3 linked regions of the Diceros bicornis minor genome follow. The protein of the gene in region 1 purifies or fractionates together with the protein of each later gene. This does not show direct contact. Links are inferred from orthologs where the notes say so. Each region holds a gene or a part of one and is shown on either strand. Other genes may lie near its edges.

Evidence for each region. Proteins that work in one complex are often made in the same cells at the same time.
Region 2: the proteins of RASSF8 (region 1) and PARD3 purify together in Homo sapiens (affinity purification with mass spectrometry; 4 studies listed by BioGRID and IntAct, counting the BioPlex papers as one, with this or other methods). This does not show direct contact. The link is inferred for Diceros bicornis minor from reciprocal best matches to the Homo sapiens genes RASSF8 and PARD3.
Region 3: the proteins of RASSF8 (region 1) and PPP1CC purify together in Homo sapiens (affinity purification with mass spectrometry; 3 studies listed by BioGRID and IntAct, counting the BioPlex papers as one, with this or other methods). This does not show direct contact. The link is inferred for Diceros bicornis minor from reciprocal best matches to the Homo sapiens genes RASSF8 and PPP1CC.

The regions. Positions count from the first base shown.
Region 1 is NC_080756.1:36,918,094-36,925,872, reverse strand, and holds the start of RASSF8 (ras association domain-containing protein 8), read left to right. Parts: upstream 1-4,758; 5' UTR 4,759-5,083; intron 5,084-7,779.
Region 2 is NC_080775.1:32,630,939-32,638,930, reverse strand, and holds the start of PARD3 (partitioning defective 3 homolog), read left to right. Parts: upstream 1-4,973; 5' UTR 4,974-5,346; coding exon 5,347-5,466; intron 5,467-7,992. UniProt on the Homo sapiens protein: Adapter protein involved in asymmetrical cell division and cell polarization processes. Seems to play a central role in the formation of epithelial tight junctions. Targets the phosphatase PTEN to cell junctions.
Region 3 is NC_080774.1:9,197,001-9,204,257, reverse strand, and holds the start of PPP1CC (serine/threonine-protein phosphatase PP1-gamma catalytic subunit), read left to right. Parts: upstream 1-4,238; 5' UTR 4,239-4,388; coding exon 4,389-4,443; intron 4,444-7,257. UniProt on the Homo sapiens protein: Protein phosphatase that associates with over 200 regulatory proteins to form highly specific holoenzymes which dephosphorylate hundreds of biological targets.

The sequences.
Region 1 (7,779 bases):
ACTAAACCCATTCTTCTAGCCTACCATAAATAATCAAGACTTTTTAATTTTCATGGGGTTATCCTCTCAAAAAGCTTCCACCTAAATAAGGACCCAATCATATTTTAAATTCCATTTCTGAGTGTATTAGGCTGCATTTCTTTCAGTATAACCTGTTGCAGTTTCCATTTATAGTTTATGCTTTATTTTCTTTTCATACTGTACTTCAGTGTTTAACAAAACATACTGATGATCACTCTCCTGCCCCATCAAATTATTGGAGGGTCTTTTAAGGGGCTATGTTTTGGTAATTAAACATTTTATTTTTTTAAGAAGAAACTGTCATTAAGTTAAAAATTCCTACAGATCTGAGAACTGTTGGCTATTTCTAAAAAGCTCCATACATTGGTCAAATAAATCACAATATTTATAGATCTTTGCAGTGTTTCAGTATGTGTACAAGATTTTCCTTAGGAATGGGAAAAAATACCATATTTACTTGCTTACCACACACATATACTGAAAAGGAGATATTACTTTTTTTTCTTTTCCTTTCAAACTTATCAGTAACAGTGACTAAATGAAGGCTTCATAGGTTAGGCTGAAGAACTCTAAATGACTCCATTTGTACATATTTTAGCATATGACTTTAGGCTTCAAGGTAGCCTTGACGTCACAAGGCTGTTGCTGTGGCTCCAGCCATCACATCCATGTTCCAGGCAAGAATAGGACTCGAGTCAGCCCTGCCAGTACCCTATCACCAGACACATAAATAAGGAGTTTTCCTGGAAGCTCTATACAACACCTTCCACCCACACACCATTGCCCTATACTTAGTCACCTCTATCTGCAAAGAAAGTTGTGAAATAAAATTTTTCACTGGGCACAAAATCAGGTTTCTGTCACTAAGAAAGAAGGAGAGAAAGGGAATGGAATAGGCAACCAGCATTATCTGCCACATTTTCATTTTTAGCATGTTTCCTTACACAGCCTATGAGCTCATAGAAGGTTGAGATTATGTTATATTCATATTTGCAATCTCAGAACCTAGCACAACACCACTGTTTATTATGTTTTTTATTATGTTTATTAATTAAAGAAGAAAATGGAAATCTTAGCTAGTTACAGGTTAGAAGGAGGAAGATTGAAGACAACATAACAGGTGAACACACAGCATTGGTTTATTCCATTTATATTGTCATTCATTCATTTAATTGTTATTTCAGCTAGTATTAACTGAGCTCCCAGTCTGAGCCAGGCCCTGTGTCAGGCATGGGGGATACAGGGGTAACTAATCTCTGGCTGTAAGAAGGAGCAGGGGCGAGGCTGGGGGAGCACAGAGAGGGCTCCACAGGAAACAAGCACTTGTAGGGTAATGTGGCAAGGGAACTGAGACGTGGTCCTGACCCACCTTCTGAGAGGTTAGGAAGCTGTAAGTGGTCTAGTGAAACACAGACTGGGAAAGAAGTACGGTAAGAGGAGGAAAGACACGTGGGGCTAGATAATAAAGAACCCGAGATATGCAGAAGTCCATAATTTATTCCTGCCAGCACACAAACCTATTTGTTTTGACAAAATGTTTGTTTCTATGGCTACCTTGGCCTTCCTCATGAAGGGATTTCCCAACACTTTGCCCTTGATGGATCTGACCCACCGACAATTCCTTTCTGGGTCTAAGCTTCTTGGCTGGTCTAAACTGTAGTCACAACTGTGTTCCACAGAGCTTATCTGAGCATGGAGCAAATGTCTTCCCAGCATCCCATCTTACAGGGTGGTCTAGATACATATTTCCCAAACTTGGCAATATGACTCCACTGGACACGATAAAAAAGAGTAGTCAGAGATTTCCAGAGAAAGGGATTTATCCTCAAGAACTGCAGATGTGAACCTGATTTTCTTAGTGTGCTAACATCTTGGGCTTCAGTTACATAGGTCAACGAAGGGATATAGGTTTAGTTGAACAAGTCACCACTTCAGCAATCTTATAGTCAAATAAGTTATCCCAATGACGATTTGACTAGTGATGAAGACAGTCATCTTTTCCTGCCAATAATTCAGTTCAGTTCAGTTCATAAGATATATGGCTATAAACGGATCTACATCAATTCCTATTTTCTTTCCCTATTTTAGAGAAAGAGATGTCCACTTAACCACGAAGCAGAGGTCACAAAGAGAGAGAGAGAGAAAGATTTGAAGATGCTATGCTGCTGGCCTTGAAGACAGAGGAAGAGGCCACAAGCCAAGGAATGCAGGCCGCATCTAGAAACTGGAAAAAGAAAGGAAATGGATTTTCCCTTAGAATCTCCAGAGAGAACAGAGGTCACACCTTGATTTTAGGATTTCTGACCTCCAGAACTGTAAGATTACACATTCTTGTTGTTTTTGGCCACTAAATTTGTGGTAACTTGTTTACAGATAGCAATGGGAAACTAATAACACATAATAACATATCTCTAGGTGCTGTTCCCCCACAAACACCCCTGTTCATTCCCACTGCTCTCCACATAACTCTCTCTCCCTTGGGATTCTCCTCTTTTCTGAATCCACCCTCTCAGATTGTTTTCTTAAAAATCAAATCTCATTATGTCACAGGGTTTGAAGTGCATGAATATGCACTGCTTCTAGTTATGTTGCTTTCTGGGAATATAATTAGAATCTAGAAATAAGGGTTGTTTACAAACCCTATCAAGGGCATTTGGTGTGATCTCAGGAGGGCTTAACAGGGGTGTGATTATAGCTAAGAAAGCTTACAACAAATTGTACTATATGCTGAACAAAGACCGCATCAACCACATGGAGCTGAGGTAGGGAAGAGGTTTTCCTGGTTATCCAGGACCGAAAGAGGTAAATTCACTGACTTCAGCAGCCATCAGTAAGGCACACTCTAGTTTGAGGCGGGGATACCTCACCAGGTCCCTGGATCCTAGTAAGAGCTTCCCCTAAATAGTGGACATGCTTATTCAATCATGGTAAGTTTCATCCTGATTTAAATGCTGGTCACACGAAAGTTGGTTGTCATGAGTCAGTCAACTTATTCACCTCTGGATGCATGATAAAATCGGGTCAGGACCCTACTGGTGACCAATAGAAACCAGATTAAGATTCTTCTACTCGGTAAGATCCTGAATCCTGGTTTAACAGTAGCTACACTCCTGCAGGCTATTACTCACCCCTGTTTCAAAACCTCCACAAAAGAGGGATGACTATCACAGCAAAAAAAAAAAAGGAGGAAAGTTATAAGAAGAAAGGAGAGGTCAACAATAGCAAATGCCACAAAGGGCACCACAAGGTGGGCATTACATTTTTCCATTAGATTTGGCAATCAGGCGGTGACTGATGTTCAGTGGAGTGAAAGGTTGACAAGGGAACGAGAGCTTAGGAAATGTTAACCTGAAGGCTGTGGAACCTCTGAAAAGAGGAACCATGCCCTACAGAGCCATTTTTAGATAAAGTTCCCACAGGTTATGCATTTGAATCAGAGAACTCGTCTAGTCCCCAAATCCTCCGAATGTTGTCTAGCCAGAGTCCAGTCTTACCATCTCTCTCCTCAGTTCACCTGAGGTAGAGGAGCTAATGAGCTGTGCAATAACTAAAGGTCGAAAAACAAGAGGAAGAAACAAAAGGCCTACAAACCCAAGCTCAGAACGAACAAAACAAATCAAGCCCTGAGCAAGATGACCCGTAACAAGTGCTTTAAATTTAATATCCTTGTTTTGATGATTAAAAAACGAGTGTCTGGAGAATTAGAAGGGGCATTTTATAATTGATGCTTCCTTGCGTCACATCCATTAACCTCACCCCATCTCCCTCCAAATTAACAGCTAATGCTGACTTGCGGGCAAAAGACGGAATTTTGTCCAGTGGCTAGAGTAATCACATACCATTAAAAAAAAGGTGGGATAGTGAAAACAACCTACACATCTGCATTTCCAGAGGAAAGCAGTGGTTTCCTTCCCTATTTGCTCTATTGCAAGGTAGGTGAGAGGGGTGGGGGGGGGAGCGGTTTTCTGAATCTGAGCCCAGCTCTTTCTAAACTTGGTTACTCACGTCTGATTCATTCGCTGTGTTTTCGTCTCCTGTCTCTGTCATTGCCTGCTGCTGAGAAGGGGGTCGCTGAATCACTGCCACTCCAGATGAAAAGCAATTCAGACCCAGTCCTTGGGGGATGGAAGGGTGGAAGGGCTTTTTTTTTTTTTTTTTTTTTTTACGCGTCTGCAGAAAAGCCTCCTACTTTCCGGGGTGACCGGAGAGGGCAGTTTTACAAGTTTCAGCCCCGGGCTATGGGAGATTTTGCTCCTGGGAGAGTCAGTGAGGCCCTGGTCACCTCACTATTCGTGGCTTTCTGGGCCCCAGGCCTCGGTGGTCGGGGCGTGCGTGGCGGGCCGTGCTAGGGCGGCCGGGGCGAGCCCGGCCCGGTGGGCTCCGGCGGTCGCGCCGCGCTCCCCGCCGCTTTAAAAGCTCCCACAATGCCGCGCTGGCGTCCCAGTTCCGTTACACTGTCTCTCCGGGCGCCGGCGAACCGGCGAGGCGCGGGCGGGGGAGCCGGCAGCGGCGGCTGTAACCCGAGCGCCCGGCCGAGGGGGGCGCCCCCGCGCCGCTGCTCTCGCGCGCGCAGCCCGCCGCCCGGAGAGGGGGCGGAGCCGCCGGCTGCCCGGCCCGGCCCGGCCCCCAGCCCGGCCCCCAGCCCAGAAGCACCGGCCGCGGGAGCTCGCCGGCCGCCAGCTCGGCCGCCCGCGCTCGCCCGGCGCCCCGCTCCTCGCCGAGCCTCGCCCGCCTGCCCGCGGCAGCGGCGGCGGCGCTGGGGGCGGCTCCTGCCGGCGGCGCAGCGGCAGCCCGCGCGCTCGCAGCCCCGGCACCCCGGCCCGGGGCGTCCACGCTCACCTAGCGCCGGCCCGGAGGTGCGCGGAGAGGGCGCGCCGGGGAGCCGGGGCCTCCGGCCGGTGCGCCGCGCGCGGCCCGCGGAGCGCCGCGGAGGGAGGCGCGCGGGGCTGCGCGGCCGCGGACAGGCGCTGGGCGGCCGCCGGGCTCCGGGCGCCGCCGCGTCCCCAGCGCCCCGGCCAGCCCCGCCGGGCGGCCTGCGGGGGCGGCGCAGTTGCGAAACTGAGTGAGTATTAACTTTACTCCGCGGCCGCGATTTCTGGGCAGCGTCCGGGACCCCTCCCTCCTTCTCCTGGAGCCTCGGGGCTCCCCGCTTCTCGCCCCCTCACCCCTCTTGTGCACCTGGGGTTTCTTCGCCCTCTCCGTCCCCCACCCGGTTCCCGCCGCGGGCTCCCACTGCCTCCAGATCACCTTTTCCCGGTCGTGTTCCCCTAGTTGAGCCTTCTCCCCGCTGCACACACGCGCCTCGGACTGAAAAGTAACGAGCTTGTTCCCTGCTTCTCTGTTTCCTCCCAGTGTCCTTGGCAGGGGAGTTTAGAGGCCACTTTTGTTGGGCAGGGAAATGTATGTCTGGCTTCTTTAATATTTTTCTTTCCAGATGGAAATCGGATGCGCGCTGGCCGGGTGGCGGTTTGGTGAAAGCTTATTTTTTCCTCTGAAAAAAATGATTGGTGTATAGGTTTTTAAATTTTGTTTGAACGATTCACCATCCTCCGTCCCTGTTTCTCCTTACTGCCAACCCATCTGGGGAGGGGAGTCCAGAAGAGGGGACTTCCAGAGTAATTCCGTTTTGCAAACTAGAAACTTTCAGAGGGTAGAGGGCAGAAATCTTAGTAAGATGCAACCTGAAGGGACTTGAGCTTTGAACGTGGGTCCTTGTGCGGCACTGGGTCTTACAAGCCGAGTACCTGGATTCGTAATCGAGTGTTGCGTTGTTATTTTAGCATCAGAGAGCCGCATGGTGTTGCTAAACCACTACTTTTTCAGCATCAGATGGCATCTTAAGCAGTGCAAGCGTTGAATATAATTGCGGATCAGTATTGCCCATGATCTTTAGGGATTTGGAAGGGAAATAGATGCAAGCCACGTTTCGTAGCTGATTTAAACCCGTCAAGTTAACCCTGTCAATACATCAAAGCATTGCATTTTTAAAAAATTCCTCCAGCCAGGTGACAGCGAGGACGAACATTTGTGGATTTTCCAGTGTAATGTGGCTCAGCAATTCTTCCTTAGATCTGTTGTGTCCTCAGGAAGCACCTTCAAATATGTGTAGATCTCTGCTTTTCTGTCAGTTGGATTAACCACTCATTCTAGTAGGGGGCACCCGGTAGTTGGATTTTTTTTTCCAAGTCTTTCATTTTTTAGATTGCCAGGAGTTGGTGATCATGTTATGAAGGAACAGAAAAATGAGAAGCTTTCGTAATGGATTTTTTAGCATGCTTTCCTTTGCCTGGATGAGGCAGGAGTGAATGCCAGCTAGCCCTCTGCAGGGAGAGGTACCGGGTGGACACAAGACTCAGGAAGCAGGGCACAGCACCATCATTTTGGAGGATTTGTGTGAGTTTTTATCTTTTAGTGGGCATATTAATGGTCCTTTTAATTTCATTTATCTCCTTGGGGAGCTCTCCCAAAACTATAAAAATTACATGTGACTGTACCCCACTTTAAGAAGACTGAACATAATTTGATGATTATTCTATTGAAGAATTAGACCCAACAAAATATAATTTGTCACACACATGACGAAGCCTTTCGAAAATCTCCCACTTCCTCATTTTGTCTCCTTTTAAGAGTCTCAAGCTGGTACTTTCAATAATAGACACAGTTGGCAGTAATGCATTGAGTTCTTTGTAGATTCATTGATTGAGCCTAATTTCTGGGCTTCAGTAGTTGAGGAGGGCATCAGAGAGCCCAGGGAGGGAGCAAATCATGGAACTGTGCACATAGGAAAGGCATTTCAGTTTGCAGAAGTGTCAGCATGTTACAGGGAAAAGCAGTTAGAAAGAAGGGAATGTTTAAGTTGTTTTTAGGGTGCATGTTGACTGAATTTGGCATTTGGTTGAGATATTTTGGAATTGCAGATTTTAAATTCTACACAGTTGCGCTATCATTTCTTTTTGCGTAACATTTCATTTTTTTAAGGTTTCGATTTTTTAATGTGAATCTCAACGCTTGGCCTTTGTAGCCTTCTGTACTGGTGGCTTGCATTAATTTTTGACTTGAATGCCTGGGTCATTTTGAGAAATGATTAGTTTTTCAAAATTTCTTACTCATTAAGTGATCTATCTTACGTTGATGTATGTCATGACTTGAAAGTAAAAATATTATTTGCTGCTGGATATTGTTGCTCTTTTCATTATGGTTGATTCCTGGCATAATGGCTTTGCTCATTTATTGTAAAACATTAAGGTCCTAGATATTTTGCTAGTGTCCAAAACATTGCAAAACTCTGCAGGTAGAAGTGGAGTGGGAATGGGCGTGGAACAGGAAAACACTATGCATCATAAATCTGAGGATTTGGATTTAAAAAATAATGTATCACCTGTTTACTCTCCTTGGATGCTGGGTTGCTCCAACCCTAAATAGATTTCAAAATTCAAAGTGTAGAGATCATTTCCAAGAACTCTGTATGGTGGAAAGAATGCTTACCCCACAGCCAGCCAGCCAGCCAGCCAGACTTGGGTGGCAAGTGTGCCTTTTCACGTGGAACTGGATGAGCTTGACCAGGCTGCTTCAGCCTCTGTGCTCTGCAGTTTGCTTTCTGTGAAATGGGGATACTCCTACTAGAAGGGGTGCTGTGATAAGAACACCTAATACAGTGCCTGGCACATCTTAGCCCATAAATGGCAGCATCTCAGACTTCTCCAGAACTGAGCTCTTGATGACTCAACCTTTCAACTGTTCCTCCTCTGTTTTTTGTTT
Region 2 (7,992 bases), on another chromosome or scaffold:
ACTGAATTTTAAAACTCCTGTAAATGTCTTCTTTATTCTTCATCATTAACTTGCTAAGGGTAAGAACTGGGTAATACAATACCATTCCTACACACGTGGGGTGTGTATTTATTTCAGGGTGTGCATGAATGCTGCTGGATAGAGTTGAAATTATAGTCCACGTGGTCACAACTGCCCATTTGCAGACAGGCACAAAGCCCAGGTGGATCCTAATTGATTCTCAGAACTCTCTGGGGTTTTTCAAAACCAATGGAATCAATCAACTGTAAAACAGAAGAAGAAGTAAAATAAGGGTCATAATTTTTTACCTGAAATATGCAGAATTTAAGAAAGTAAACACATTGGAAAGTGTTTGTGTAACATCTGACTCTTGGCTTGAGTGATTTTGCTTCTCTTTGGCACTGGGTTGCTTTATGCTCACCTCAGGCCAGAAGCAATCGGATCAAGCTGAACACTTTACAGACGTGAAGGTAGCCTGGTGTCTAACCATGCGACTTGATGGTTAGACATTAGGTGATTATATTAGTCAAAGTAGATTCATTATTTGTGATGAAATTTTATGAATTTGACTCAAGTCACCAAAGTGTCTGGCATCTAAAATTTACACAGCATTAGTTTTTCATCAATTATTAATATAAAGGGAATCCCTATATCTAGAGAAACGAGGTAGATTTAAATAAAGCTTCAAGGCTTTACCTAGTTAGTTGAATAGACATTAATTATTGGTTCTATGGATCACATTTTTGAAAAATTGCCTAAACCCTTATTAACTATTGAATATTGGAAGGAGTTGATGTAAATAAAGTGGTACCCATATACCCTGATGCTGCCTCTTTTATGAAGGCAGGCCTCACTCCCCGGTATTGCCACACACACTAGCTGGCACTTAATATTTAATGTCTTGAGTTACAGTTATTGGAGTAGCTGTCTTATTCTAACCTCTATATTGTCTCTTTCTTACTCCCTTTTATAATTCTGTAATATTTAGCCAGTGCTTTCCACATGGAAGGTCTTCTGGAACTGTATGTGGAATCAAATTAAAGTGAATTGAGTACATGAGCCTTGGTCCATCACTGACTAGTTGTATCAACAGTCCCATCATTTCTCTGAGCCTTGGGTTCCTCCTAGCCCTGTTCTCCATGCCCACCCCCCCCCACCCCCCCAGTGCCCCAGCATCATCATTCACTATCCTGTCCTGGACTTCCTTACCTCTCACCTACAATATGGTTACTGGACTCCCATATGGCAGCACGGACTAAGTGGTTTTTTTTTTAAATTTTTTAATTGATGTTTTAATGGTTTTTAACATTGCGAAATTTGGGGTTGCGCATTTTTGTTTGTCCATCACCATATATATGACTCCCTTCACCCTTTGTGCCCACCCCCACTGCCCCTGGTAACCACAGTACAGTTTTCTCTGTCCATGTGTTGGTTTATATTCCACATATGAGTGAGATCATACAGTGTTTGTCTTTCTCTCTGGCTTATTTCACTTAACATAATACGTTCCAGGCCCATCCATGTTGTTGCAAATGGGACGATTTTATCTTTTTTTGTGGCTGAGTAGTATTCCATTGTATATATATACCACATCTTCTTGATCCAATCGTCAGTCGAGGGACACTTACGTTGCTTCCACTTCTGGGCTATGGTGAATAATGCTGCAATGAACATAGGGGTGCATAAGCCTCTTTGGATTGTTGATTTCAGGTTCGTTGGATAGATTCCCAGTAATGGGATGGCTGGGTCATAGGGCATCTCTATTTTTAAGTCTTTGAGGAATCTCCATACCGTTTTCCATAGAGGCTGCACCAGTTTGCATTCCCACCAGCTGTGTACGAGGGTTCCTGTTTCTCCACATCCTCTCCAACACTTGTTGTTTTTTGTCTTGGTGATTATAGCCATTCTAACGGGCGTGAGGTGGTATCTTAGTGTTGTTTTGATTTGCATTTCCCTGATGATTAGTGATGTTGAACATCTTTTCATGTGCCTATTAGCCATCTGTATATCTTCTTTGGAGAACTGTCTGTTCATTTCCTCTGCCTATTTTTTGATCAGGTTGTTTGTTTTTTTGTTGTTCAGTTGTGTGAGTTCTTTATATATTATGGAGATCAACCCCTTGTCAGATGTATGTTTTGCAAATATTCTCTCCCAGCTGGTGGGTTGTCTGTTCATCTTGATTCTGGTTTCATTTGTCTTATAGAAGCTCTTTAATCTGATAAAGTCCCACTTGTTTATTTTTTCTTTAGTTTCCCTAGTCTGGGTAGGCATGTCATCCGAAAAGATTCCTTAATAACCAATGTCAAATAGTGTGTTGCCTATATTTTCTTCTATGAGTTTTATAGTTTCAGGTCTCACCTTCAGGTCTTTGATCCATTTTGAGTTAATTTTTGTGAACGGCGATAGCAGATGGTCCACTTTCATTCTTTTGCATGTGGCTGTCCAGTTTTCCCAACACCATTTATTGAAGAGACTTTCCTTTCTCCATTGTATGTTCTTAGCACCTTTGTCGAAAATTAGCTGTCCGTATATGTGTGGTTTTATTTCTGGGCTTTCAATTCTATTCCACAGATCTGTGTGTCTGTTTCTGTATCAGTACCATGCTGTTTTGATTACTATTGCTTTGTAGTATGTTTTGAAGTCAGGGATTGTGATGCCTCCTGCTTTGTTCTTTTTTCTTAGGATTTCTTTAGCTATTCGGGGTCTTTTGTTGCCCCATATAAATTTTAGTATTCTTTTTTCTATTTCTGTGAAGAATGTCATTGGGATTCTGATTGGGATTGCATTGAATCTGTAGATTGCTTTAGGTAATATAGACATTTTAACTATGTTTATTCTTCCAATCCACGTGCATGGGATATCTTTTCATTTCTTTATGTCATCATGGATTTCTTTCAATAATGTCTTATAGTTCTCATTGTATAGGTCCTTCACCTCCTTGGTAAGATTTATTCCTAGGTATTTTATTCTTTTTGATGCAATTGTAAATGGTATTATCTTTTTGAGCAGACTAAGTGTTTTAATACATTATTTTATTTAATCCTCATAATTTATGAGATGGAGAGCATCAGGCCCGCTTTTCAGCTGATCAAGCTGAGGCTGGAGAGAGACTGAGTGCCACGTCTAAGGCACGAGTAAATGGTAGGATTGGGATCTGAACTCAGACCTGTGTGACGTCTGACGTACTCCGGCTGTTCCTGAACTTGCCTTTCAATCAGAATTATTTTGAGAAAGGCTCACTCTAAACCAGTATACCCCTCGCTCCCCAATGCATCAAAACAAAAACAACATCTGTAATTATCAGTAATTTTTGTGGATCCAAGTATTAATACAAGAGTGAAGAAGACCTCAGCAAGAGTTGTTGTCATAGCTGTCACAGAGTTTATTGGGTGGAAGTGTTGAACGTTGTGGTCAAATAGAAGAAGAGCATGGTGAGCCTTTCCCATGAAGGTGTGGAAAGAAACCTGGAGTCTACTTCTGCGTCTGCCTCAAGCTTTCTCCTTGGCCTTGGGCAAGTGGCTTCAACACTGGGTCAGTATCCGGGTAACATGGGAATGCTGACACACTGCCTATTTACTGCACTGGTTTGCTAGGACAGGTGATCCAGTGTGTTGGTCAAGGGCTGTAGATGAAAGGAAGTACAATGTTTTATAAGACAAATTGCACTATATCTGGGGCAGTGTGGGGCAGCGGCAAGTGCAGAGATTCTGGAAAGCAGACGAATCTTATTGTCCTGCCTCCTTATTTCAAAATGGGAAGTGGAGTGGGATGGACGAATGGTCACCAGCTCTTCCTGCTCTAAACGCTGACGTTCTACTTGAGCTCCCGGGAGCTAACTGCTTTCAGATTCTAGAAACAACTAGCAAAAGTGAATTTACTGTCGTTTGGGACAGAGGTGGGCCAACGAATCTTTGCCATTCCATAAACACAATAACACACAGTTATTAAGGAATCACAGCTCATAGCTAAGACAGAGATGAGCTTCAGTTACTTTTCTTCACTTGGTGCACGGTCTTGTAAAACTTGTCTCACGTCCTGCATGCACTTAACTCATTATAGAGCTGCTTTCTTGTGCCGGGTTGAAGTGCCTCCGCGAAGCGCCGGCGTGTCGTGGGGATCCCCTTGCTTTCCCCCAAGGCATTCTGAGTATATTGTTCACAAGTTTGCGTTAGGATTGCTTATGTTGCAGAATTTTTAAGAAATGAAATTATCTGAATTGCTGATGTTTAAGTTCTACGTATTAAAGCGGGTGGGTCACCACGGGGTTAGAGGAAACTTCAAGGTAAACAGTGGCCTCAGGAGAAAGACTGGGTCGAGTCAAAGCTTCCCCGACGTCTCCCCAGAGCAGATGATTAATTTTTGCTTTGACCATAACAACCTCTGCCCAGCCTTGCAGCCTAGCGAGCGAGCCAGTGCAAAACCCTGCCAAGCTGCGGGTCGGGGGGAGGCGTCCGCGGCGCGTGGGCCCCAGCGGGAGAAACCTCGGCGGGCACACCCCGGCCCGACCCGTCCCATCCTCCTGGGGGGCCGTGGAGACGGCTCCTCCCCAAACGTCTCGGCGCGTTCAGTCTGCCGCGCCGAGAGTAAACCGCTTGCTCTAGAAGCGATTTCACCCGAACCCCTCCAGCCGGAGGAGGGGGATTAAAAGTGACAAAGAAAGAGGGGGGGCTCCGGAGAGAGCTCTGGGGGCATGGAGCGGGCGTCCCCGAGGAGGGGCGAGCGCAGCCCTGCAGCGCGCGGGGGCGCGTGAGGGGGGCTGGAGGGGGACGCGGTGCCGAGGCTCGGGGGGCGGCGGGGCGAGGGGCGGCGCCCGCGGCAGGGCCGGCCCAGGCAGCAGGCTGCCCGCGGAGGCGGGCCGTGCGGCGAGGGGTCCGCGCCCCGGGGAGGGAGGCGGCGGGGCCGGGGTGCGCCGCCGTGCGCTCCGCCCCGCGCGGGGAGCGGGCCGCGCCTCCCCCTGCCGCATGTGCGCGGTGTTGTGTGCCCGGCCTGCTCCTCCTCCTCCCTCCCCTCGCCGCCGTCCCCTCCCCCAGCGGCCCCGAGCGAGCGCGAGCGCCACACAGCCCCGGGCCGCCGCCGCCGAGCGCGCCGAGACGCCGAACAGGTGGCCGGAGGCTGCGGGCGCCGCGGCGGGGAGAGGCGAGGCGAGCCCCGGGCGAGGCGAGGGCGGCCGGGCCGGGCATGCGAGCCGAGCCGTCCCCCGGCGCCGCCGCCTGCCCGCGCCCCTAGCCACCCGCGCGCCCGTGCAGCGGCCCCGCCGCGCCCAGCGTCCAGCGCCCCGCGCCCCGGCCCGGGGCCGCTCCGGCCGCGCTCAGCGAGGGGCGCGGGCCGGCCCGCGGCGGCGGCGGCATGAAAGTGACGGTGTGCTTCGGCCGGACCCGGGTGGTCGTGCCGTGCGGGGACGGCCACATGAAAGTTTTCAGCCTCATCCAGCAGGCGGTGACCCGCTACCGGAAGGCCATCGCCAAGGTGAGGGGCCGGGGGCGCGGGGGTGGGGGCGGGAGAGAGGGGGGTGGAGGGGGAGGAGGAGAGGAGGGAAGGCGCCGGGATCAATATGGCGCTTCCTGGAACGGGGAGGAGGGAGCCGGAGGGGAGGCGGGGAAAGGGAAAGTGCGGCGGCCCGGCCGGCCTCGCGGGCGGCCCCCGCCCCGGGCTGCGGGCGGTAAAGTTCTCCGCGCGGGCCGGGCCGGCGGGCGAGCGCGGGCGCAGCCCCCGGTGACGGCGCCGGCCCCCGCGGCGCCCTCCGGGCCGATCGCCGCCGCCTCTCCCTCGGGGCCGGGGACGCGGGGGCCGGCGCCGGCCACAGGCGCCCCCGGAGCCGCCCGGGGAGCAGAGCCGAGCCCCGCGCGCCGGGCGCGGGCGCAGCCTGGCCGGACGCCTCTCCCCGGGCTGCCCGCTGCCGGCAGTTGAAATCCAGCCCCAGGCCTCGCCCCGCTCCCAGGCCCCGCGGGCCAAGGCTGGGAGAGGGAACTTTTTTGGTGGAGAAGAGTTTAATTATTGCACACACGATGGAGAGCGGCTGCGTTTCTGCTCCTTGGTCTCCCTGCGTCCGGGCGGGGAGAGAGGCGAAGCGGGAGCCCTTTCTTGCCTGCCGGCCGCGGGCGGGGGCGGCCCTGCGCAGCGTGGGGGTGCTGGTGGGCGACAGTCAGCGGCCTGCGGTCGGGAAGGCGGCTCCGAGGGGGACCCCACTTCCCCTGGCTCGCGAGCCTCGGTTGCGCGCAGAATCGCGGTGATTAGGAGGCTCCGGTGCAGAGCTGCTTTACAAAGCACAGTCCTGCATTCACTCGCTGCATTAAAAGTTGTCCTGCAGGGACCTTGGCGTTTACCTATCTGGGACTAGTTCCATATGGTGTCGAGGCCGCCGAGCCAGGGCCTGATCTCGGAGTTGAGTCGATTTCTCTTTTTCTCCGTGGAGTGATAACATTGTATCCACTTAACTGCATTCCTCTACAATGTGTCAGAAGTGAAAAGGCATTTTGTTAAATTGTTTTCTCGGCTGTGTCTGTGTTTGACAACAGCCCACGCCTCCGAAGTTTCTCTCAAGCACCTTGAGGATATTTCCTTTGCCGTAGAGTAATGTTTGGTGGAAAGCACATTAACTTGTTAAATTTCCTGTTTGTTCCCGAGAGTGGAGTGACCTGGCCCTGTGGGCTTTGGGGCAGTGGGTGAGGGGGACCCGGGCTTTGTCAGCCTAACTGCGTTTGTACATGGTGCTCAAGTGGCGTCCTCCAATTCTCTCTGAAATTAAGAAGAAAAACTTTTTTACCCTGTTTTCTTTTTAGTATATATTAGAAAAAATAGCATAAATTTGGCCTTTTAAAGATAATGATGGGGACGTTAAGGGACCTGACAAAATGATGGAAGATGTTGACTTTAACAGCTCTAAAATGTTCCTTACAGTTGGTTGAACTCGTATTGAAAAGCAAATAAAATGTGTGGAAATTGGGCACCTGTTTATCTTGCAACACTGACAAGGGGAGGAAAAACCCCTCTAAACCCCTTAGCATTTTAAAGGATTGTTTATGAATGACAGTTTATGATCTAAGTGTAATCTTATGTTTATGATCTAAGTATAATTAGTAATCAGGTTGCACATGTACTCTGGAAACCAACAAAATAAGTTGTGAAAGGAAAGAGAAATACCATAATATATACTCTGCAGTGTGCCTAGGTTACTGAATAGGGAGAGGTGATGGACATTTTCTTTCATTTTACTAGTTTTATCCGCTTAAAATTAGTCATATGTCATTAGGCACACAATGGGCATTGGTTAGATAGCCTGTTTGGGAGACACAAATGTGGTTGTTTGATTGATTGAGTCATTCATTCATTCTACAGAAATTCTTAAGCATTTACTATGTCCAAAGCTTTGTTTTGGGTGCTGGGCATCTGCGGGACCCACTGGCTGCTTTGTGGAAATTGGGCTGTGAGAGTCTAGGACAGAAGGTTTCATGGTCCTCCAGTGAAGGAGGCTGGAGGTGTGGACTGGCGTGTTGTGGTGCAGTGAGAAGAGGATGCTTCTGGGATGTGGGGTAGATGGAGTTGAGAGTCTTCAGTGATAGATCTGGACCTTGTTTTTTAAATGTTAGTGGTGGTTGTTTCATAGTGACCTGGGAGCACAGTAAAGGGAGTACAGTTTTCTTAAGCGAGTCTGAGAAGGCACCTCAAAGAGAAGGGGCATAGGAGCTGAGTTTTGAAGGGTAAGTATGAGATTACCAGGGAGAAGGAAGGAAGGAATGGTGATTCTCAGAGGGTGATGGTAGCATTGGAGGTGGATATAAATGAGAGGGAGAAGTCAGAGATGATTCATGGGGTTCCCAAATTAATTAAATGCTTTTTAAGTTCAGCTCACAGTTCAGTGGGTGAATTTTAAGACAGGTGTTGTAGTATACAAAGTCCAATCATTGGATCACAAGACTATTGACTCTCAAATGATGCAAGAGCCTGAGTATCTTCTAGGTCCATTTGTATTTTTTCCTCTTAAATTGTTAGGTA
Region 3 (7,257 bases), on another chromosome or scaffold:
CTACATGCTCACGATAGCCTGAGATGGGTGATATTGTCCCCAGTCTGTAGGTGAGGAAACTGAGGCTCAGAGCCGTGATGCCACATTTGCCATCAGCCCCTCCCAACCTCACAGCTTCCACTCCTGCTCACCTATAGTCCCTTCTCCTCACAGACAGCAAAGGGCTCTTTCAAAGAGGAAATCAGATCTTATTTAGGAGAAGACGCTCTGTGGGTAATGATGTTATGTGATATTCTACGATCCAAAACTTCTTTATGATTTAAGAGTCTTGAAAAATTAAGAGCAATGCCACAGTGGTGTAAGATGTTACCATCAAGGGGAAACTGAGGGAAAGGTATATGGGAACTCTTTGTACTCTCTGTGCAACTTCTCCATAAATCTAAAATTATTTCAAAATAAAAAGCTTATTTAAAAAACTAATTAGATCATGTTACTCCTCTGCCTAAACCCTATAGTAATTTCCCATTAGGCTTAGAATATACTCTGAATGTCTTCCCGTGGCCACCAAGTGGTCTGGCCTTTGCCCACTTCTTCAACTTCCCCTCCTAACACCCTCCCTCTCACACAGCACTCCAGCCACTCTGGCCTTCTCTCCATTCCTCCAACTCTGGAAGATTATTCCTACCTCAGGGCCTTTGCACTTGCTGTTCCCTCTTTTGGGAATACTCTTCTGCTACGTAGTTCTTCCCAGGACTTTGCCTTTTCTCATCCTTCAGATCTTGACTCAAATGTCAAATCCTCAGAGTCCCTCTTGTCTGTGTTCACATGACCCCTTCTGATTCTCTCATAAAACTCACCACTCTCTGACATTATCTTCTTTAATTGGTTTCTCTGTTCCTATCTGTCTCCTCCACTAGACCAAGAGTTCCATGAGGGCAGGGACTATGCTGGTTTGCTCACTGCTGTGTCCCCAGCTTCTCATACAGAGTAAGGCCTCAATGAACATTTGCCAAGAGAGTACCAGCGTCTGCTGGTAATACCACAGGACGTTGAAATAAAGCTGTGGACTTTGTCAAAGGGCTTTCATCCACATTTTTTCCCATGGTTCCCTACTTTGTACAAAACCTCCAGAATACCCAGGTAGGTCCAGATTTGCTGACAAACCTTATCAACACCATTTCTTTGAATCATTTAACAATAATCCTAATGTTCATTAAATTTGGAAAAGGGAGGAGGAAGAGTTCACCCCCAACCTTCTAGAACAGAGCCCAGATATGCTTTGTTGGCCTCACACAGTATTTTAGAAGAATTTTGAGTTCATGACGAACTTTTTAAAATGGAAACATTTCACATAAAAATCCGTATGTTCAAGTTCTCCTGACAACTCAGAGGATCTGGCCACACTGGGCCCCAGTTTCCCACACGGCCCCAGTGGACTGAAAATGGGAAGTGGCCACTCCTTAGATGAGACTTGCGCTCTCCAGTTCACCACAGTACCTATCCACCTAGCTTAATTTTTTCATGCTATCCGCCTGGTCCCTTTAGTCACTGGGATTCCCCTCAAAGCCTAAAGTATCCTTAGAAATACTATTGTTTCACAAATATTTTAGCCACAGCCTCCATCTTCAAATTGTACATGGAAGGTCAATGTCTAAAACAGATAGTAGCAATAATAGTTAATATTGATGGAGTGCTTTCTGTGTGCCATGCTTCTGTTCGGTTGACTTGAGGGGTTGGGGACCAGAACCCCATCGGCTCCCCAGCATCTTCAGCGGCTCCCTAAGAAAGCTCTGTGGATCCAAGGAAGACAGTTCGAAAAGTACATTTTAATCCATTCTCCTCCTTTTACAGATAGGCAAACTGAGGCCTAGAAAGGGGAAAGGACATTCCACCGGGTAGACAGTAGCCTTTCTGGCAAATGCTTGTCTGCTGGTCCTTAGGGAGGCCACTAGTGTCAATAATGGCAGGAAAAGGCCAACAGGGGATCAGTTCTTTCCTCCGAGTTGTGTGCTGGTGCCTGGGAGCTGATCAGGACTACCCTCTGGGCTCACACCTCTCTCAGGCCCAGAGCCAGCTAATTCACTTAGGCACGTGCCAGCAAAACTGGACTCTGGAGTGGAGTAGCCCAGGGGAGAATGGTGTGTGAACAGAGGCCCTCCCCATGTCCCAGTCCTGTCTGAATTCCTCCGCCAGCCCTGATGGTGTCAACAGATGGTAACATACCTGCGATTTTGTATGGAAAATTACAGTGCTCTTCCTGTGGGTAGAGACACGCGGAGATCGTTCCACTGGGTTCCACATTTGTTCTGTGTCTAGTGTGTGCCAGGGTTGTGCTAGGTGCTAGGGATTCACAACCGTGATGTATTACATATGAACACAGGCTTTTGTTTCTGGCTGTCCTGAGTTCCAGCCCTGGCTCCGTAACTCACTAGCTGTGTGACCTTCAGCAAACAACCCAGCCTCTCTGCCTCTCACTTTCTTCATCTGTAAAATGGGTGTGATAGGAATAGGACATAGTTCCTAGGATTGTCTTGGGATAATTTTTGTCACACACTAAGACAATGAGTGCGGTGTTTTTTTTTTCCACCGCACTTATCAGAAGCTGATATTTTTATTTGCGTCTTTGTTTATTGTCTGTCTGGCTTACTAGAGAACTCTCCATGAGAGAAGGGCCTTGTCTATCTTGCTCACCCTTGCTTCTCCGCCTAGAACAATGCCTGGCACAGAGTAGGGGCTCCATAAATATTTGTCTGCTGAATGAATCTCTGTCTTTCATATTGCTGCTCTAACTGACTTTGCCATGATGCGGCCTGCTCGGGAGGAGCCCAAAGTCTCCCTGACTCCGGCAGAGCCACCCCGACCTTGACAGCCAGCCGTTCACAACAGCCCTGGGCATCGGCTCCGGATCAACTGGGCTCCGTGCCCAGGGCTGACAAGCGACACTTGTGTTTCTTCTGGTGGACAGAGCTGCAGCACGGGAGAGCGAGGTGGCGACCGGGGACAGTGGAGTGAGCCGCTCCGCCGCGCAAGGGGAGCCCCGGACCTCAACGCCCCGCACCCGCAGCAAGGAGCCCGCACCCGGCCCAGGCCGCCCCCGAGGATGGCTGCCCCGGTGGCGCAATCACCTCGATGGCATTCAGGGATAGGAATTCGTGCATCCTGTGCACCTTGAGAAACAAAACTAATTTCTCTGGGAAGGGAAAGGGCTTTGCAAACTGTAAAGCGCTGCAGGAAAAAAACCACATAAATGAAAAGGTCAGGAAGAGAGCAGATGTGTTTGCTGAGTGCAGGCTGCACTTCCAAACCCAGCTGAAGGCGACGCGCAGCCCCGGAGGTGGCACACTGGGGGACCTCCCGGAGAGGGATGCACTTGGAGGGCCAGGGTTTCCCCGCGTGTCTGCAGAAGCCAGGACCCGCCCGCGCTGTCTGCTCCTGCAAACTCGCTCCGCTCTCGCGGCCTCGAGCTGCGGCGCGCGCAATCTGCAAATTCTGCCTTTCTCTGCTGCACACGCTCGTTCACCTTTGTTCTGGCTAGAATCAGGGTAACTGTTCCGACGATTATATAACCTCCCGAGTTCAAGAGAGATAACCCCAAGATAAGGATGATGAAATTATTTTTTGAGGGTGAATTTAAAAAAATGTTTCTCCAAATGTAAAAGTTGCAGAAGCGCACAAAAGAATACATACAGATACCCATATTCCCACCACTCAGAATAAATGTTCACATTTTGATTTATCTGGGACAGGTCTTTTTTTTTTTAGTAGTAACCAAATAAACTTTTCCCTTCCCGCAAGTCCCGGCAAATCTGAATTCAAAATAAATCAACCCACTGCCCTCTATTCTCCCACTCCATCTTCACCCCAGATGTATCTTAAAGGGTGAACTCCAGGACCCCCGAATTCCCTCAGTGCGCTTCCAGACGGCCAGGTCTGCAAACATCTGGCCCCAACGAGCAGCGTCCGGCGAAGGCCGCCACCCTCGGAACGCACAGCGGCGTTTTCTCCCCGGTCCCCAACTCCCGCGTGCAACTTTGCTACTCACGCTCCCGCCAGGGGGCCTATTTGCTCGGCCCGTTTGGCGGAAGGATCCCGCGCGCGGTCGCGGTTACGCTCAACCGTCTCCTCCCCCTCCCCGCGCCCTGGCCCCGCCCCCTCCCGCGCGCCCTATGGCCCATAAAGAAGTCCCGGCCGGGCCGCTGCACTCCCCCGCGCGCATCCGTGCGCCGCCCGAGGCTGGCTCAGGAGTCGGCGGCCATCTTGTTCTTCTCGTGGTTCCAGTGGGGAGAGAAGGAGGAAGCAGGGAGCGGGGCGGTTGGGGGGGGACCCGCCGCGGCTGCTGCCACCGCCGCCACCACCGCCTCTGTGCTCGTGGCGTGGGAAGGGAGGTGTGAGTCCCGGGCGCGAGCCGGCGGCGGCGCCGCTGCGGGAGGGTCTGCGGCGGGAAGGCGATGGCGGATATAGATAAGCTCAACATCGACAGCATCATCCAACGGCTGCTGGAAGGTGACGGCGGCGGCGGGCGGCCCGGGGCTCGCGGGGAGGGGAGTTGGGGGCCGGTGGGGCTTGCGGCGCCGAGGAGGCTGAGCACGGCGAGTTGGGCTGCGGCCGGAGGGAGGCGGCGGGTCGCGCTCGGCCGGCCGGGGACCCTCGGACCCCGCTCATTCATTGCCCGGGTGCAGCCTCCCTGCTGGCCGGGAATTGGGCAACTCCGCTGCCCACTCGCTCGCTTCCGGGCCGTACCCCCTGCGCCCCGCGGCCCGGGCCGGTCCAGCCCCCGGACGGAGCGTCCCGCACTTTGTGGTCCTCGTCCTCTGCGAGAGCGGTCGGGGGGGGGGGGGGAGCTTCGTCCCCATCTCGCTCGGTTTTATTTTTTGTGGGGCTGGGGTCGGGGGGCCCACTTTGGTACTTGGTGACGAACGCTCCTGTCTCAAGGGGATGTTGGAACCCACCTGCCCCTGCCCTTCCAGATACTCTTTCCGAGTTGCCCCTGTCTTGAGATCTCCGCGCTCTTTTCTGAACGTGAAACCGGCGAAGATGACAGTTTCGTTCTCGTCTTTGCAACGTGCCAGGCTCTGTGTTAGCGCTTTGCGTTCATCGCATCGTTAAGAAGATAATAATAGCGCTTCTAAAGCGCCGTATGTCAGGCATTTTTTGAGCACTTTACACAGATTTCACTTAGTTCTGTCTGCAACCTTGCGAGGTTATTTTTTCCTGTTTTTCAGAGGAAACTAAGACGCAGGTGAAGTCACTTGTCCAAGGTCACACAGTTAGTGACAGTCAGGGTTCAGATCCAGGCAGCCAGCAGCTAGAACTCCTTCATCTCACCCTGTGTGTGAAGGAAGGAGATCTCCAGTGGTTAGGCAGAGGTCAAGTTAGAGCTTTCGTTCTGGCTGATTTAAGACTCGTGCGGTGCCTCGTAGTGATGCGGGGGACGGATGAAGTTCGGATTATGGAGAGGGGCGCTGAACCTAACTGCCCCCGGTTCCCGAGCCGCTCTGCTGATGCGAACGTCTTATTCGGAACTCGGGAAGAATTCAGATCCCTTTCTTGGTTTGGGCACTGAATAATGTAGATTTGACTGAATATTCACTGCCTTTTGCCTTTCTACTGTCCTAAATATTGTCGGAACAGAAATGCTGTGAGACGGAGTCGAGAGCGTTCACAGTTGGACAGCTGTGTCCTTAGAATTTGCAGATCTTTTGAAATAAGTTATTAAAATGAAACTCCTGAAAATATCTTTTCTTTATCTGTACAGGTTTTTTTCCTTTTATATTTTCTTGAAAGAAAAGAAGAACCCACTGAATGTACCCCTGAAATGCTCTTGAAATGTTGCTGCCATTTGTGGGTGAAAACCTTGTCATTCGTTCAGGAGCTGGCATTTATTATAAGAACCACACTTTTCACACTAGTTAATACAATTCTTTGATTTAGATGAGGCAGAAGTGGGTCTGAAACTGATTAAAACTATTTGCAATAAGAAAAGAACTTTTTATTAAATATTTTTATTTTAAACTTTTTAATTAGCTTCTGTGTCTCTGTGCAGGGATATGTATTGCTAGATTAGGGTAGGCTTTATTTCACTGAGAAACAGGAAAAATTGGATTCTGCATGGATTAGAAACATTACAGTTTTAAGATTAAAGTCTTGTTAAGTTTTGAGTTGCCCATAACTGTATTCGTGTAACAAATTTGGTTAATTTTGATCTTATTTTTTTCAATTGTGCTAAGGAATTTCCCTTGATAAACTTGGATCATATAAAAAATGAGATCTGTCATTGTTTCTTAATAGTTTCTCTCTATACGTGTTATGTTGCACTTGAAAAGCAGGTTTTTTTATATTTCATTTTTCATTGAAATTAATATAATAAAGCTGTGCATTTTCATGCCTTGGGAAAGGCTAGGTACACAATATACTTAAACTCCTTTTTTTCTCATCAGTGTTAAATTGGCAGAGAAATGGTTGAAGATGATCCATTGAGGATGTGTATATATCCAAGTTAGAAGATGTTGATCATAAATTCATGATTTTTGTAATGCCCCAAAAACCTTTTTCCCTAAAAATTTTTATTAAGATTTAAGTATATCTGAAAATGGAGAGAATGTGAGTTTTGTGACCTTGTTAGACTTTTTTACGTGTTCAAAATTGCCTCGTCTTCAAGTGGAGGACCGACCGTACAAGCTAGTTGAGAAGCAGCTCAGTAAGAGTACTAAAAAGCAACTCAAAGGCTTATTTAAGAAAGGTTTAGATTTTAGTCACTACAGCTTTGCGATTCTTTTCTGCTCTAAACTTTTAGTTTTTCCTCAACTAAAGGCGAGGCAACCCCTCCGCAACCCACCTTGGGAGCTTTTAACCAAGCTCTGCCTTGCTGAGGAGAAAACCCTAAGGTTGTTACTCCTTCATATAATTAATGTTCAGTTATTTCAGTAACTACACAGTAAAACTTGGGCGATTTAGAGAGAAAGTAAGCCAGCTGTTGATTTGGTCTGATATTCCTACACTGTTGGAGAAGAGTGAGATTTGGGGCAGTTTTACTTTGTAAGTGACCTTGTTCGGAGAGCACCGATGGCCGGCACTTTTCTTGCAAAGCAGGCGGTTGTAACTTACTTCACGTCCTGATTTGCAAGATGCCTCTTTGCTCTGAAGGTGACCATTGTCAGACTGCAAGACCATGCCAGGCTCTGCATAATCCTTGACTTGCCGGCCCTCGAACGTGTTTACTGATTTAATCCTCTGATCTGTAAGAGTTCATCTGAAGATAGTGAGTGTTGAAATGTTCTGAAAGTCTAAAATTGTTCGGGTAACCCATGTGCTTTTTAA